2 linked regions of the Schizosaccharomyces pombe genome follow. Changing the gene in region 2 together with the main gene of any one other region gives a genetic interaction. Each region holds a gene or a part of one and is shown on either strand. Other genes may lie near its edges.

Evidence for each region.
Region 1: of erh1 (region 2) and rad21, a mutation in one rescues a mutant of the other (synthetic rescue), as found in Schizosaccharomyces pombe (2 studies listed by BioGRID).

The regions. Positions count from the first base shown.
Region 1 is NC_003421.2:1,337,394-1,347,530, reverse strand, and holds rad21 (mitotic cohesin complex non-SMC subunit Rad21), read right to left. Parts: upstream 4,639-10,137; 5' UTR 4,440-4,638; coding exon 4,407-4,439; exon of another isoform or gene 4,327-4,406; coding exon 2,473-4,326; 3' UTR 2,138-2,472; downstream 1-2,137. Other genes in the region: F-box protein Pof3, read left to right, coding at 404-2,137; SPOM_SPCC338.18 (uncharacterized protein), read left to right, coding at 5,909-6,262. UniProt on the Schizosaccharomyces pombe protein: Cleavable component of the cohesin complex, involved in chromosome cohesion during cell cycle. The cohesin complex is required for the cohesion of sister chromatids after DNA replication.
Region 2 is NC_003424.3:4,061,534-4,068,906, forward strand, and holds erh1 (protein erh1), read right to left. Parts: upstream 5,439-7,373; coding exon 5,410-5,438; intron 5,326-5,409; coding exon 5,304-5,325; intron 5,286-5,303; exon of another isoform or gene 5,253-5,285; coding exon 5,195-5,252; exon of another isoform or gene 5,120-5,194; coding exon 5,090-5,119; exon of another isoform or gene 4,959-5,089; coding exon 4,854-4,958; exon of another isoform or gene 4,796-4,853; coding exon 4,725-4,795; downstream 1-4,724. Other genes in the region: cpy1 (vacuolar carboxypeptidase Y), read right to left, coding at 1-2,985; ubiquinone biosynthesis protein Coq9, read left to right, coding at 5,901-6,653; decaprenyl diphosphate synthase subunit 2 Dlp1, read left to right, coding at 7,223-7,373.

The sequences.
Region 1 (10,137 bases), on a different chromosome or scaffold from region 2:
TATCTTTTAATCACTTTATTGTTTTGTACTCAATAGTTAAACCCAAATATTTTTTGATCGATTACCGTATGCTAATTTTGCTTGAGATTGTTTACGTGTTTTAACATATGAAAAGCATAACAAATAAGTAGATACTTTTTTTTCCAAACTTTTGGTTACATGCTTATTATTAGTATTTTTGCACATTCAATTTCTGTTTAAATGAAATTTGAAGGCGCTAGCTTTAACTATCCTTTAACAATTCTAACTTACTCCATAAAGCTTGCGACTACGAAAGCATAATATATACCTCAAAAAGGATATCGAGGTTCTTAAAATACGGTTCATTGGAAGCTATATGGGAGGTTTATGTTTATGTATAGAAAAAATAAATCGTTGGGTATAGAAATTAAGATTTGGATTCATGAATAACTATCAAGTAAAAGCAATAAAGGAGAAGACCCAGCAATATCTCTCTAAAAGGAAGTTTGAAGATGCATTGACATTCATTACTAAAACCATCGAACAGGAGCCCAATCCTACGATTGACTTGTTTGAACTAAGGGCTCAAGTTTACGAAAAGTCAGGTCAATACTCACAAGCAGAACTTGATGCTAAACGGATGATTCATTTGAATGCAAGAAATGCTAGAGGTTACCTACGCTTGGGAAAACTTTTACAGCTTGACGGCTTTGATAAGAAAGCAGATCAATTGTATACGCAAGGCCTGCGAATGGTGCATAAAATGGATCCCTTGAGACCGGTATTAAAAAAAGTAAGCCAAAGATTGAATGAAAGAATTCTTCGGACCAGGCCGGTACTAGATTTGTTTCGCATTCTTCCCCGAGAAGTCCTATTATGTATTCTACAGCAACTAAATTTCAAAAGTATTGTTCAGTGTATGCAAGTCTGCAAACACTGGAGAGACTGTATTAAGAAAGAACCTAGCTTATTTTGTTGCTTAGACTTTTCATGCGCCTCTCCTCGAAGTGTAAACTCTAGAGATCGAAACGTTATGGCTGTTGCTCGATACTCTGTTTATTCAAAAGACAATATACAGGAAGTAATTGGCTTAGAGAAGCTTGGTATATTAACACCTACCAAAGCCTTACTTCGTTCAGTCAAATCACTTAAAGTCTACAAAACCATTTCACCTCTCCACACTCAGTCAACGGATAAATTGTATACAATTTGGACGCCATTTTCTGAACTTCACTACTTTTATTGTGCTACTCCTATAACATTTTCCATAGCTTCTAAGATTTTATCTTGCTGTAAGAAACTCAAGCAGGTTGAGCTTGTTGACTTAATTCCCGATTTGATATTTGATTCTATGGATTGGGATAAACTCTTTAATGCAGAATCTGTACCGCTGGCTCTTAAATCTTTGACGTTTATCCGAAATCAAAAGTTTCCCTTTCACCATAAAGAACAGCAATTTCTTAAAGACTTGCTGTCTGCCAGTCCATATTTAGAATATCTGGAAGCCTCATATCAGTCAGACCTAGTTGCTGCAATAAAAAAATATAAAATTAATCTCCGATCGTTAATTATCATTGATGAAGGAGTATCGAATACTGTTAAAGATCTAGCATTCCTTCCTCAATCTCTTACCACGTTAATTGTGAAACCCTGCAATCCTGCATCTACAATTTTATGTCCATATTTATTCCCTACAAATGTCCGGATGGAATCACTAATCAACTTAGAGTTATTTCTTTATCTTCGTTTATCTCAAAATGATATCGATAATGTTGTCAAATTTTTGACTTCTTGTTACAAACTAAAAAAGCTGGTTCTACACGATTCGCTAGCATTGGCCCCCCATTTCTTTGAAATATTTGCATCTTTACCGGAACTTGAGCATCTTGAGATTCCTGATAACGTTGCTCTTCAAAATAAGCATGCAATACACATTACTGATTGTTGTCCAAATCTAAAGTATGTGAACTTTTCAAATTCAATATCCCTCGATGGATCGGGATTTATAGCAGTTTTACGAGGACTGAAAGAATTAAAACGTATAGATATTATTAATTGTGATTCTGTTTCTAGAGATGCAATAGATTGGGCGCGCTCCAAAGGTATGCAAGTTACCGTAGCTTCCTCGCTTCCAAATTCTCAACCATTGGGTACAAAAAAGATACGCCTAATATAATATGATCATATTGTCTTTATATATTCAATCCTAGTAAACCCGTATCATCGCATTGAAAGGAAGATTTTTAAGAGATAGATCAATCATTGAGAATAAATTAAAAAGCGCGTAAGCTATTTCTAATCATAACTTTGTGTTGAGCTGATAATATTACATACATCCAACAGTAATATCGTAACTCGGAAAAAGAAAGACATACAACTCGTGATTCCAAAAATAAAATAAAGATAAAAGAAAGCAATGAACAATATTACTGTCATAAAAATCTATTTCGTGTAAGTATTCACACTTATTTATAGATCTAATTGGATTTTGAAAAAATATTAACCGACCTCTCATAGTGATGAAAGTAGCATTCCACGTTTAGCAGTAAGCGTGATTTCGTTCTGAATGGCAACATCCTGCTTGACAGATATAACATCCTTCGTCGCTAAAACGAGGACATCAAAGAAAAGTTGAACAGCTTCCTCTCTATTGCATCCCGCACTAAGAGTTTGGAAGGATACTTTTTCACCTTCAGTATAAGGATCCCACTTATTGCGTAGAGAATCTTTGGCTGTTTGTGAACTAGGAAGGGCCTCAGATACCGAAGAGTCCAATCGTTCGCTTCCCAGCAAATCGGCCTCGTCCAGCATTACGGGAGGAGCGTCAAAAAGTGAATCATCGGCTGATTCCAAGGCAGTAACAGGAAATCCCATTGGCGAACCAAGCTCAGGAGCTTCTCCTTCTGGTTGAACAACGGTTTCTTGTGGTAAAGTAGCGATAGCGGCTTCAGTAATGTTGGCAAGCTCAGCGGCTGCAATTTCTTCAGGGTCCAAGACTTCAGCAGTTTCTTGGTTTTCAGTTGAGGTATCAGTACGTTGGTGCTTGGCAGGCTCGACTTCCTCTGGGCTCTCATTTTTTCTCTTTCTTAGAATTGCCTGTTTGAAATCAGCTTGCAAAAGCTCGTTTACTTTAGGGTTCAGGTTGGAAGAAAATATGGAAGTATTAAATTTACCGTTTCGAGTAAAATTAACGGTGGCATTAAACACGATGGAAGATGTATTCAAGCATAACGGTGAGGTGATGGAAGATGTATCTGCCAATTGTTTTTTCATTTGCTTGGAGGACAATTCAGTAACGGGATCAATAATTGCACGTTGACGACGTACAGTTTTCTGTGGATTGATCTTTTCCTGTTGAGGAGCAGTGGCGCTTTCAACAACCTGACCTTCCTCTACTCCTGCTGCTGCAGGACGAGATGAATCATCTTCCATAATGTCAGAAGGGAGATGAATACTTGATGTTTCAGCTTGTTCATCAGCCTCTATCGCCGGAGCATTAGCACCTTGTTCATCTCCTAAAAGATCATCTAAGCCCAAATCCAGGTTTAAATCATCAACAGGAGCCAACAATTCATCATCCAATGAAGTTCCTCCTATTGGTAGCATGCTTGGCGTACTAAAATGAGTGACTGAACTAGCCGGCGACTTAGTCATTTGAGGCCCAATAATTCCACTTAAATCGGTGGCAGCAGCAGCAGGAGCATCTCTACCTACTTCTATAGAAATTTGGGACTGATTATCAGAGTGCACACTTCTAGGTGTAGCAGCACCGGAATTTGAAATGGGAAGATGAAACTGCATATCATTGCCAACATGTGCGAATGATTCGCCCAAGGAAAACCCTGATTCTACTTGGGCATTTCGTCCAGCCTCAATTGATAGCTGGGAAGATGGAAAAGAAGGAGAGGAAGATATTGGTAAAGAATGTAGTTCAAGAGTGTTCGAAGAACGAGAGGGTGTACGAAGAAGTTGAGACCATTGAAAATCAAATGTACTATCAGGTACCAAAAGATCAAACTCTGTAATTGTCTCAGGAAGAGTGAGATTAGCGCTCTGTGTCACAGCATCTTTACCTTTTAAAGATTGGAGAGCAGTAGCTGGTTCAATCATATCAACCTGACCCGGTTGAAAGGACATTTTCAAACGCATCAACGCTTCCGTACAATCCTCCAATAAATACCTAGCCTTTCTGGAATAAATGCGAACAACACCCAACATTAGTTGTCCTGATAGGCGAAGGGCCATTGGAGCGGTTTCCTCCGTGACAATTGCATGGACGCTTTGCTCAATACTGGTGTGCAAAGTTTGCACTTTGGAAAGTTTCTTTTCCCAGTGAGCTGCCAACCATACCTTGGCCAAAGGACCCTAACGCGAACAGTTAGTCAGACGATTCAAAGACAAATTAGCACTGTTTACGCGCTAAAGAAAACTTATAAACTACATACCTTTTTTGAAAGAATGGCCTCTGAATAGAACATAAGAAGCTTAATATGATTAGGAGAAAAAGATAGAAAGAAATTAAAGAGTAAAGACAAAAAAAAGAGGGGAATCAAAAAAGAACAAAAATAAACAAAAAATTAATAAATATTAAAATGAAAGAAATGCTTTCTTTCGCAAAATTCGCCTCCTCACTACGATATAAGCTGGGTATTTGTAAAAATGAATATACGTGGTGCTGGTTAAATGAGTACGCGCTGCGCGTAAATAAATCCACGTTGCCATGCCGACAATGAATATGATACATAAACAAACTAGTATGTGTAGCAACAAATAGTTAAATAAATGAATAAAAAAAGCTTGTATTGAAGTTAGAAACTGTTGAGCATGATCAAGGGAATATGCTTCCTCGAAGAAGTTGATTTATCTTTGTTATATGCTTGTATGTTTCGGCCTACTAACTGTATTATAAAATGATGCGCTAGATTTACGTTCACATATGTGCATAGAAGGCAACAAAAGGCATTTGAATTATGTTATTCAATTAAAATAGTCATAAGACATAAGGGGATATGTTTTTCAATAAAACGGAAAACTCCGATTACAACCTTGTTTTAACAATCTTGAGTTAAATTTTGACCATCCTTATTTTGGAAGCATTATCCTTCCATTGAATACATTTATCAAATGAATTCCATTCATTAATTGCATCTTCAATGCCATTTTTTCTGTATGATTAAATAGACTCGTAAAAGGATGTTTTCATCCCATTTTAGTAATGTCAAAACACATTACATTAAACGAATATGTAATAGAAATTACCACGACTGAAAATTTATTTTATTTCTATTATATTATTGTCAAAATTAAAAGGTTGATTGTGACTCGTATGCCAGAAGAAGGTTAATGAATAAAAATACTTATAAAAATAAATAAATTTTTTTTTTTTGGGTAGGGTGTTTTTTTTTAACGATAAACCCCATCCAGATAAATTCGATAAACAAGCTAATTTATTTAAAAAATCAAACAAAAAATAGAAAAAGGAATAGACAAGAATTCCATCCATATTCGTCTAGCAAATTCGATTTTTCCATTTCCCAATAGTGGACACTGCGCAAAACAGTTCCCGTATGTTTTAGTGAAGGGGAATTCGAGTTTGACTGTTGGAAGAAGGCAATTCGCTCATAAATCATTTTAATAAATAAAATGAATGTATAGCATTATTTTCGCCTCTGCAGAAGTTTAATGTCATTGTTCATTGTTGGCAATATCCAATGTGGGGGAAGGCGTAAATAAAATGAATACGTATATGTTTCTAACCTTGATTCTTGACTTTTCCCAACAACGGTTCACTGACTTTAAAAGAGAAAAAGTATAAATTACTAAAGCAATTGTTACATTTAAATAGATTGCTAAGGACTATTGTCTAATAATACAACAGTTACCTTTATTAACGTTTATTTTTCTTTTGGAACACATTGAATATTAAACTAAATTGCCACAAAACAAAATGACTGAACAGAATATCGATATCAAAAGAGAATTGAAGGATGAATCTCCAATTGGGCAATCTCCACATCTAGAAAATGATGGTCGTCCTAGTCTTATGTCGCGCTATAGCTACTCGTCTATTGAAGAGGTATCCAAAGAGGGCTATCAATGGTTTAAACATCAAAGTGTATTTCTTAAATTTAGCCTAATTGTACTTTTATTCTCGTTGATGTTTAGTTTGACGTTTGGTTCGTTGCTTGGATTAATTAGCCTTGCTTTGGGCTTTCCTAGTGTGGGATATCGTTATGTGCTTCTGCCCATATTAAATGCATTATTGAACCGTTTAAGACTTAATTCCTCCGGTTTGAAGTAGTACGAAAAGCTTGATTTCTTTGGGTCTCCCGTTTCTGCTTTTTGTGTCCGAATTCAAAATGAATCATCATAAAAAGACAGTGTTCTTGTTTACCTGAAAGCGATGAGTAACTTACCCTGTTGTATCTTAGTTTACGACGATCCTTGTATAACGACTGGAAAATAAAAAAAAAAAGTCAAAAAACTGTGAATATAATAAAAAGTGATTTTTTACTTGTTTAAATTACAGCCTAACCTGTTGCAACCTTTCAATATTCTTTCCATCTTCAAAACTACTTACCCACCCTTACCTACTTGTTTTAACCGTGTCGCCATTTTTTAACTGCCAAAATTACGGGCGAAACTCCAATACCACATATTCCCTTTTATTAATTTATTTAGCAATTATGATTTAATACAAATTATCTTTAAGATCTTCAAGCTCCTTTTGTTACTAAAGTTACGTTTTGCTTGATAGGCCTAAGTGAGTTTATCTTCATCTGATAAGAAGATAGCACTTTATTCTCCAGAGGATTCTGACTATTTCAAAAAATGCACAATTATTAGCAGTGCCTATTACTCTTTGTTATGCCTTTTATATTGAACGAATTATTGAATAATCATGACTATAAATCTAAAATATACCGTATTTGCTGATTTTAATAGTATACTTTTCCCTAGAGACCCAGCTTTTTTAGTTAAACATTAAGACTATAAACAAAAACAGGCTTTTACTAATAGCTCGACGTACATTATTTGGGTTAAGAATTCTTGATGCAGTTAGATGCAGAGATGGTTTTTTTTAAGCCATAAACGTTCATCTTGTAACCCTTGATTGTTTTTTTGATGGATTCTAATGTGCTTGAGTGCGTTATATGTTTAACCATTTTAACATATGAGTGTAGATGGAGGTTGAGCCAATATGTATAAAAATAGACATTTCTGCTGGACTTGAGTTCGACTCCAAAATTCTTTCAACACGTAACTCACATTGCCGCGATTACCTTGTAACCTACAAAAAATACTCAATGCTACATGGTCCTTCAGTTGGCAAAATGTATTGAGAAACCCTACAGTTCCTTTTCTTAAGCAAGCTGCTTAATTGAGCCTGCTACAGAGAGTCGTACCCATACCATACCCATGTACGCTATATCAGCCCACTACATATTAGTGCAACCAATATCATGGATGAAACAACTATGATTTCGCGGATGTTTTAGCACAGCAATTATCACTTAAAATCTATACCCAGATATCCTTTTGTTTTCCAATAGTCGATGATGATTCCTCACATTCAGCAATTATTGAGACGCTGACAAATGGACTTGAGCGTCTGTCAGCCAGTTTTCCGTGGCTAGCTGGTCAGGTTGTTCACGAAAGTTCAGAAGGAAAAAGCTTTAATATATTCAAGATTAAACCGTATGAGAAAACGCCTCCTTTCTTTGTCAAAGATCTTCAGCATGTCCCTTCTATACCCTCCATGGACGCGCTCAGAAAAGCCGATTTTCCTTTCAGTATGCTGAACGAAAGTATTTTCGCACCTCGCAAAACGATTCCAGGAGATCCTGATGAACAAACGTTAGGCTCAGATCCAGTTTTCCTTGTCCAAGCCAGTTTCATCACTGGTGGTCTCGTGCTTACGTTTGTCGGTCAGCACAATGCAATGGATATGACCGGCCAAGGTTAGGTTATCAACCTCTTTTCTAAAGCTTGTTGCAATGAACCATTTACTAGCGATGGTAACCTTCCCCGTTACAACCTTATCCCTTTACTCGAAGACTCTTACGAACCAGGTTCTGAGATGGATCATTTCATTTTGAAGTCACCTCCTTTTTATTCCGAACTTGAAAGCGTTGATAAATCACATCCTCCTCCTCCTAAATGTATTTGGAGTTACTTTTGCTTCGACCATAACTCACTCACCGCTCTTAAAACACTGGCTACAAAAACTCTCCCCTCGTCGTTTGCCTCAGAATATATATCCACCGACGATTCCCTTACCACATTCGTCTGGTAAGCCATTATTCGCTGCTGCATTTCTCGATTGAACCCTACAGCCACATCCACACTTTGTCGTGCTGTTGATGTACGGCAGTACTGCAATATTTCACCAACGTATCCAGGACTAATGCTTAACATGAAGTCACAGAGATGTGTAATTGAAGAGTTGATGAAGGAGCCTTTGGGTGGCCTTGCATCGAAGCTTCGTTCAGCTTTGGATCCAAAAACACGGGCTTATGAATCGAGTGCACTTGCGACTTTAATTCATCGTAGTCCAAATAAAAATCTAATCTCCTTTTGCTCAAACCTTGATCCAAATACCGATATTGCTTTGAGTTCATGGGCTAAGTTGAATAGTTATGAGCTTGAGTTTAACCTAGGATTGGGAAAACCAGAGGCTGTACGGAGACCCCAGTTTATCCCGATAGAGGGCTTGATTTACTTTATGCCGAAAGACTTGGAAGGTGGAATTACAGTTGCTATTTGTTTAAGGGAGGAGGACATGAAGAAATTGAGAATTGATGAAGAGTTCTCTAAGTATGCGAAATACATCGGATAGCTGCAACGTTATTAAAAAACCAGAGGACACGGTGCTATTGGGAAACAATGCGTGATAGTGTGTAAATTTATATTCGGTTGATTTTTTTTTTTAAAGTCATCGTAATGACTCAACTTGACCACAATATCAATTGAGAACTTATAATTACTTTCTTTTATTTTTTGATACAAGTTTTAAGAACTCTTAATAAAATATCAACAACTATTCTATTTTTTGAGTCGATGTCTATGATTAATGCTACTCCCAATCGACTTACTCATTATTAAGAAATATGAGCGTAAAGTAGATATTGAATCATTAAATAATTTTTAGATTTACAGTTTTAAGGAATTTTGATTCTAAAAAATTTCATTTTCCTTTTCTAGTAAACTTCAAGCTTTTCTCCAATCCTTTACATTTGTAAAATTCGAATATTTTTAACATATAGTAACATATCACTATATCAGGATAGTGTATTGTACATTATCATTCATTATTTGATAAATAAAATAGGGGCCATACATAAATGGTAATGAGTAGACAGGTAGGCCAATCAAGATATATAAAGACAATTTCTTTCTTTCTATAAAAAGTAATAGGTATATTAGAAATGAAGTGCTAATGACTATGAAAAGCTGATCGAAATCTAAACAGTACTAACATTGAGGCTCAAATTACGCATGGATGTACCAGTTATTCCTAGATATAAAGTATCACACTTGGAAAAATTAGCGTATTCTAACGTCTTCGTGAATTGTACGCTAGTTCATCTACTAAAAAAATATTGAAATTTAAATCACATATTTCAGAAACTTCTTTTATATTTTAATTCTCTATTGAAAGATTTTAAGAAGAATTATGCGTTTAAACACACTTTTGATTAAGTTCTACAGAATACGTTTGTGTATGCATAAATAGTGTGTGCTAACTTATTAAGGCTAACACTTATCAACGCGAAAATATTTCTCCCACTTCACAACACATCTCTAAAACCCTCAAGCAGCTTCTGATTTTAAAATTCATAATAGCGTATAAAAATGATGAATAATATTTCAACAATTGATAAGTCCTTAATATCACAAACACATTAGAGCCTAAACAAATATTTTAAACTCTTCATCGTCAAATCCTAAAATTTACGGAAATAACGCGTCCAATTGTGAATAACTCATGTTTCACAAAGCTTTACTTGTTCTCAGTTATTAAAAACTTAAAACTCCATTCTTAGCTGGTCTGTGTAGTAAGACTTTAAAGCTGCAAGCCTTTTTTCGTGTATTCAGCATGATTAAGTCACAGAACTCAAAACAATATATGGAGCATTAAACACTATTTAAATTTGCCAAGAAATTCTAGGTTTT
Region 2 (7,373 bases):
CCAGCTGTTCAACATTTCTAAACTAGCTTCGGGTTGGTTGAAAGGAACCATGTGTCCAGCTTCGTAGAGGCGAAGATAACCAAAGTTTTTGAAAGACTTACCACGACCAGCTTCCTTTCCATTAGGACTCCAAGGCTTCAATTCGGCCTCATAAAACTCACGTTGACCAGCCCACTCAAGTGCGTCGGTCCAAGCTTCATTGCCCATGTAATTGCAAATGTAGTCAGCATCACCGGCATAGATAAGAACGGGTAGGCCAGCTTCTAAGATTGCGGTGACATCGTCACGGAAAGTCTTACGCATCCAGTCACCCTTGAAAAGGAAACCAATGTTTACTTCAGTATTGCATCCCTTGTAATCGTATTCAACTCCCAAAGCTTCTTGAACAAATTCTTGGTTCAAGTAACTCTCAATTGCACCGGTTTCGGGGTAGCATAAGTGCTCTTGGTCACGGCATTCTTCACGAATATCATAAATGTTGAGTCCAGTCTTAGTAAATGGTCCAATCATAGCGTTATTGCAATACAAAGAGGCACCAATGCAAACAGGAGTAAAGCCAGTCTGGTAACAGCCAGTGATTAGCTTAGCGCAGGTATCATAGGCACCAGTAATGCGATCACATTCCTCTTGGGACATAATAGGACCGTAAGGGCTCTCGCAAGCCATTTTTCCGTAAAAGTAGTATTGGACCAAAGGATCAGTCAAACCATTTCCAATCAAGACACTCTTCAAATTGATGTATTGCTTCTCCATTTCATAGCCGCTGGCAACAAAGAAGTTAGCACCTTGGTTATGCTCCATAATTTCCTTGGCAAACTGGGGGATGTAATGGCCAGCATAGGATTCACCAGCAATGTGAAAGTCCAAATGAGCGTACTGAGGGAACTTGGCAAAGAAAAGGTTCAAGAATGCATAAACATCCTTACCAGCCGTAACAGTGTCAAGAACCGAGTCATCTCCGTTGCTGAAACCCGTGTTGATAGGTTGATCCAAAAAGATAACTGAAGCATTGGAGTTCCAACTGTGAGGGTTATATTCGGGTTTAAGAGTCTCAATGTTGATTGAAGAAGGACCTAATTCCATGAACAAACCAGTAAGGGAAGAGCAACCAGGACCACCGTTCAACCACAACACGACGGGATCATTCTCGGGATCATTTCTAGATTCAAAGAACCAGAAGAAAAGATGTCTGTCATCTTCGACATCTAAGTAACCGGTGTATTGCTTAACAGTGTCAATACCAAGTGATTCAGGTTTGGAATCTTTAACGCGAAGAGTGTGATCAGGGAAAGCCTTTAAATTTACATGTTCACCATTCTCTTCTTGTGAAAAAACAGCGTAGGGACGTGAAGAATCAGCAGGTTGAGCATTAGATGGCTTAGCAGGATGACTCTGGTCACGGAAAGCAGTCATAGGATCAATACCTTCAGCCTTGAGCATTTCAAGGTAGGCAAATTGTTCAGGAGTGAGATCACTCAACTCCAAATCATCGTCGAATTCAAATAGGGGGGGAATTGATGAATCCTTTGGGGCATTTTCTTGAATATGTACAGGAATGTTACCATAGTATTCAATACCAAGAGTGTCTAAAAAGCGAGAAAACTCTTCGGCAATTTCTTCAACAGGAACAGAATTGATGAGGTCAGCGAAAGCCTCAATGACCAAAAGCTCATGAGAACTTTGCATGTTTTGCTCAGGACGTTCGTTGTGCTTCTCCTTAGGTCCTTGATGGTGCTCCTTGTCCTTAGGTCCCTTGTGGTGCTCCTTGTCCTTAGGTCCCTTGTGGTGCTCCTTATCCTTAGGTCCCTTATGGTGCTCCTTATCCTTAGGTCCCTTATGGTGCTCCTTATCCTTAGGTCCCTTATGGTGCTCCTTATCCTTGGGTCCCTTATGGTGTTCCTTGTCCTCAGGTCCACGATGATGCTCAGGACCTTCATGCTCCTCAAGCTCATGGTGTTTGAAAGGAGGAGGAGGCATGTGCTCTCCAGGCTCGTGATGCATAGGAGGAGGAGGCATGTGCTCTCCAGGCTCGTGATGCATAGGAGGAGGAGGCATGTGCTCTCCAGGTTCGTGGTGCATAGGAGGAGGAGGCATGTGCTCTCCAGGTTCGTGGTGCATAGGAGGAGGAGGCATGTGCTCTCCAGGCTCGTGATGCATAGGAGGAGGAGGCATGTGCTCTCCAGGTTCGTGGTGCATAGGAGGAGGAGGCATGTGCTCTCCAGGTTCGTGGTGCATAGGAGGAGGAGGCATGTGCTCTCCAGGTTCGTGGTGCATAGGAGGAGGAGGCATGTGCTCTCCAGGTTCGTGGTGCATAGGAGGAGGAGGCATGTGCTCACCGGGCTTGTGGTGCATAGGAGGAGGAGGCATGTGCTCACCAGGCTCGTGATGAGCAGGGAACTCTCGATCCTCATCGTCAAATTCATGATGCTTGGGACGCTCGTCATCAAAGAAAACAGAGTCATCCTCGGGTTTAGGGTGAGACTTCTTTCCCTTTCCCTTAGCATGTTTACCCTTATGGTGCTTTCCTTTTCCTTTGCATTTACCGTGCTTTCTGCGGGGAGCATCCTCATCAGCTGAGTCATGAGGGCGCTTCTCGCGAACGTGTTCATCCTCATCATCGTCAAAGATATTGTCGAGACGATCAGAAACGGTGTGAAGGAAATCACGAGCAGGCTGAAGGAAAGAGTCAAGCTTGTCTTTAAATCCAGGGTGTTCTAAGGCAGTATCATCTTCAAAGTCATCATTAAACTCGTGATGACCCTTGGGGTGATGAGGAGCCTCAGCTTCATCACGCTCGGGAACGGGATTCATAAGAGGAGCAGAGCTTTCCTCTTGCTCACGGATGAAATCCTCCCCAAATTTCTCGTAAAAATCTTTGGGAACGACGATATCACCACCATTTTGCTCAGGAGGAACATAACCGTTAAACTGAGCGGATACGACGCAAGTGAGCAAAAAGTACAAGAAGGTTTGTTTCATTAACATCTTGTTTCAATGTACAGTATAGAAAGGAGAGAAACAAAAGGAAATGAAATATTCGTACAACAAGCTAACCAAATAGACCGAACTTCTCAAACAATCAATTGATAGATACAAATCTGTATGTACTGGATTAAAAAAGAAATTGCAAATTAGCCAAATCAGATAACTGTTAGGCAAAATGAGCTATATGGATAGATTAAAAAGAAAAATAAACAATGAGAAAAAGAATGTATTTAACTCAATGTCGATTGCGAAGCCTCACGTCTTACAGTGTGATTACAAGCACTAAAGGCAATGTGGATATCGCAATAAATAACTAGACAGAAAACCACAAAAAGTAGCAAATTCTTAAACAAACGTATTTACGATCGTTTTGCTGCTTTTCCCTCTTCAGATCACTTTACTGGTTCTAGGGTTCGATGGCGTTAATGTGTGCTTGGTTAAGGAGAAAAGTAAGCGGCAGGCAACAATCGCTATATATATGAAGGGTTAAGCATAAGTCCAGAAGCGTGACGCAGACGCCTCGCATGAATCATCATGTTCTAAGCCCCTTCGCAATCCTCCTTAGATATCGCTGCAAATACTTTACAATGTCTTTATACGCTAATAACGAAATATAATGAAAAAAGTAGCTTCGCTTGCAGTTAGCAAACAGGAAAATCACATCTGATAATATTTATTAAACAAAAAGAAAGGTAAACATGTGGATCAAGTTATTCTTAGTTGAATTATTGGATTCAATTAAACCTTAAACAGACAGTATAAAATATAAAAACACGCTCTTGTTATTAATTGTTTTGCAGTCATCAAGTACTTGACTAACTCTTTGCAGAAGCAATGGATATTTATCTTTGGAGAGTAAAATTGAGAAGCAAAGTACACAAAACTCAAGGTAGCAAATCTATAATGCCTAGACAATTATCTTGTATTGCTAGTTTGTGAAACAATGAATATGCATTCGCTTTATTGTGACTAATTCGTCCTGGTACGAATTGAAAAAGTAACTGGCCAAGCGGTTTCCGTGACAAAAATGGGTCAAAATACACAACATTATGTGATTTAGCTCCACTATACTAGGGCTATTCTTCTATAACCCGAGAACGTTGCTCGGCAAGTATACCGACATGATATATATACCTTATAATGTGTAGCAAAACTGGAAGGAGCGAGGGCGAAGATGAAAGCGATACAAAAAAAAACTATAAATAAATATATATATATAAAGAAATGTCAGCAAAGATCGAGTGTCTAGCAAGTACAAAAGTTTGTTTCTTCCGGTTTGACTACTTCAAACGAGGGCTTAGAAGTGGCTATGCTGTTTGTTTTACAGTTTCCCAGCACTGGAAATTAAAAAAAAGGGCAAAACAATACAATAGCGGCTGGCAAAACGGATGGAATTGGTCCTTTGTCTTGCACGAGGAAAAAACATGACAAGTAAAAAAAAAATTTGCAATTGGGTTTAAAAGTTAAGAGACAAATGCCATTTATTAGAACAATTAAATTTTATAAAAAAAGAATAGAAAAATAATTGTTAAAGATAGAATATAGCTAATGCATGATACAATAGAATTTGAACCTCTTAGAATATTGGTTGCTGATTCCAAAGGTGAAAAGCAGCTGCTAAAATGCCATTCCTAGTGCATTGATAAAGATTTTAATTTAGAAAAACTTAGTTCTATTTTTTCTTTGATTTTGAAATTTAAAGCATAGCAATGAGTAGCATAATATGGTGTTCGATATTTTTAAGGGATCTGTCTAGCAGCTGTGAGATATTCTTGAGCATGGTGTAACAACCATTGCTTTTCATGGGGAACTAATAGTAGAATTTATTAGTATCAAAATCAAACTGATAAATGAGAGAAACTGCTTACTATATGCACGAAAATGCCGATCGTATACCAAAGGAACGCAATCATAGATCTCGTCGAAAAAGTTGAAAAACCTTGAGACATCAATAGATTCCTTTTCGCTGACTGCTAAACATAAACGTCAGTCTAATGCAAGTTTTCATACGGTAAAGCTGAGTTTTCAATCCGGGACTTGGGAAAACATAGTTCATCGTCACTGAAATTTCCAACCAAAAAAGAAAAACAAAAATCGTACGTACCTTGATTTGTTTGGTAAACACCGACTATATCTAATATCACGTTAACAAATGATTTCCAATAAGTAGCGCATCCTCTACAAGGAGGACGAAAGATAATATTCATACACTCAATAGCAGAACGCAAGCTGCAATGGTCGCTCCATATACGAGTTTTTGGATCCGACTGATTAGGAGTTAGTGAAATCTTTAATTATCCTACAATCTAATGACATACTCCTTGTTGTATTAATAAAATGCTGTAAGCAAAATCTAGTTAGCGAATAGCCCTTGCATAGTGTACATAAGTGTCTTGAAGCTTTTCTGGCATTCGGGGAACATACATATGAGATTCTGCTGGTGGAGGCGACATTACGAGCCAAGTATTTTGAAGTATCTTCTGTTTTTATCGAGCAAGGATTAAGACCGCCTCTCAAACACACCGTCTAGCTTAATATCACCCTATTTTTATTTTCAATTTATCTGTTTGAAAATTATTTGCTATTGTCACACAAATTATTGTCAGAACGACTCTTTGTACTTTCAGGTGGGTAGCACAGTTATTGAGTAGCGATTTCGCTTTCCTTCTACAGTAGCATCCGTCACGCACTCTATCAGTTCGTTTACTTTGCAGTTCTCACAATTTAATATACTTCAAATATTATAATTATTTTTAGAAGTCATCTTCCAATCTTACTATATACTTTATCTAACTCGCTGATTTGAATAACTCGTAACACCTCTTTACCCATATCTCTTTCCTTCGAATTGCTTAGTGAAAGACCCTTTCTTTCTATTTTGTTTATTTTTCTGACTCTTTTTTTTATTTCTTTACATGTTGACTTTAAGAAGTGCTTGTCAGTTGACAACAAAAAACCTGGGACTTCATAAATGCATCTCCAAAACGGTCATTTCCGCTCTAGGAAGGAGAGGCTATCATAGTGAAAATTACGAAACCTCTAAGATATCCGGAAAGAAGGCTTTAATTTTAGAAAATGCTCTTGAACATGTTCCTCAACTGGGGTTCACGGAAGATGCAATCGTGCAAGGTGGTCAGGCCCTTGGCTATAGTAATCTCTCCAAGGCCCTCTTTCCTTCTGGTCCAATGGATTTGATTTCGTACTTTTTCCTGAAGCAGCGCTACGCTCTTAGTTCATTAAAGCCTCATTTGACCACTATCCCCGAAACATCTGGACGTGTTGTCCAGCTTATTTGGTCTCGTCTGCAAGGAAATAGGGATATTGTTCAGCATCTTCCGCAGATGATTGCAATTTGTACATACCCTTCAAACTTGCGAAAATCATTATCCTCTCTGGCTGAACTGTCAGATGAGATTCTTTACCTCGCGCAAGATAAGTCAGCCGATTTTCAATGGTACACGAAACGTGCTGCTATCTCTGCCATTTACTCTGCATCTGAGTTATTTATGAGTCGTGATACTTCTCCTAATTTTGAGGCGACTTATAACTTTGTTCAACATCGCATTCAACATGCAAAAGCCTTAAATGACTTACGCAACGATGTCTTGGAATGGGGTTCCTTTCAGCTGAATGCTGTGAGATCAATCCTTCGTTCAAGGGGAATTTAAAATTCACTGCTACTCCTTTTGCTTGTTGGTTTAACAAATCAGCTTGATTCAACTTTACGTTATGCAAGAAATAAATGCAATTTCATTTCCTACAATATTTAAGTTTTTTTGGCTAATTGTTTTCTCCATATATCGGTAGTTATTGTTGAATGTACTCTTTGATTCGAAACTTCATTTGAACAGTGTTTACCTTAAAAAAATCTATAGAAAAATCCTTATATATTCACGGGTTGATAACAAATTAACTTCAGTAAAACATTTAATAGAAACACACACTTTGACTAATGCTACCTTTACTACTTGTATATTCTGTTTTTTTACTACCTTGAACTTACTATTCTGACTCTTCCTGAGGTAACCTGTGACTTTGAAATAATTAGCTAAAACTGACAAGACACAGGCGTAGTTAAAGAACTCCAAAAATGAAAACATAGTAGCAATCAAAGCATCCCACTATTTTTTGTCTCTCGTTTCATTAGCGTTGTAAATTACTGATACCCTACTATACCTCTACAAGGCCTTTGTCATCTTTTTACTCAAGTGTGAAATCATCACTTATTGTATGAAGGATGAGCTTTCCGTTCGCTAGTTTGCTGAAAAGGCCTTCTGCAATAAGCTCTCTATTATCTTTAAAAAAACCTGGTTCCTGGTCTTCCATTCTGCTAAAAGCTGTAGGGGTTTTATCACGAGATTCCCGTTGGCATTCTGACTTATTAAAAA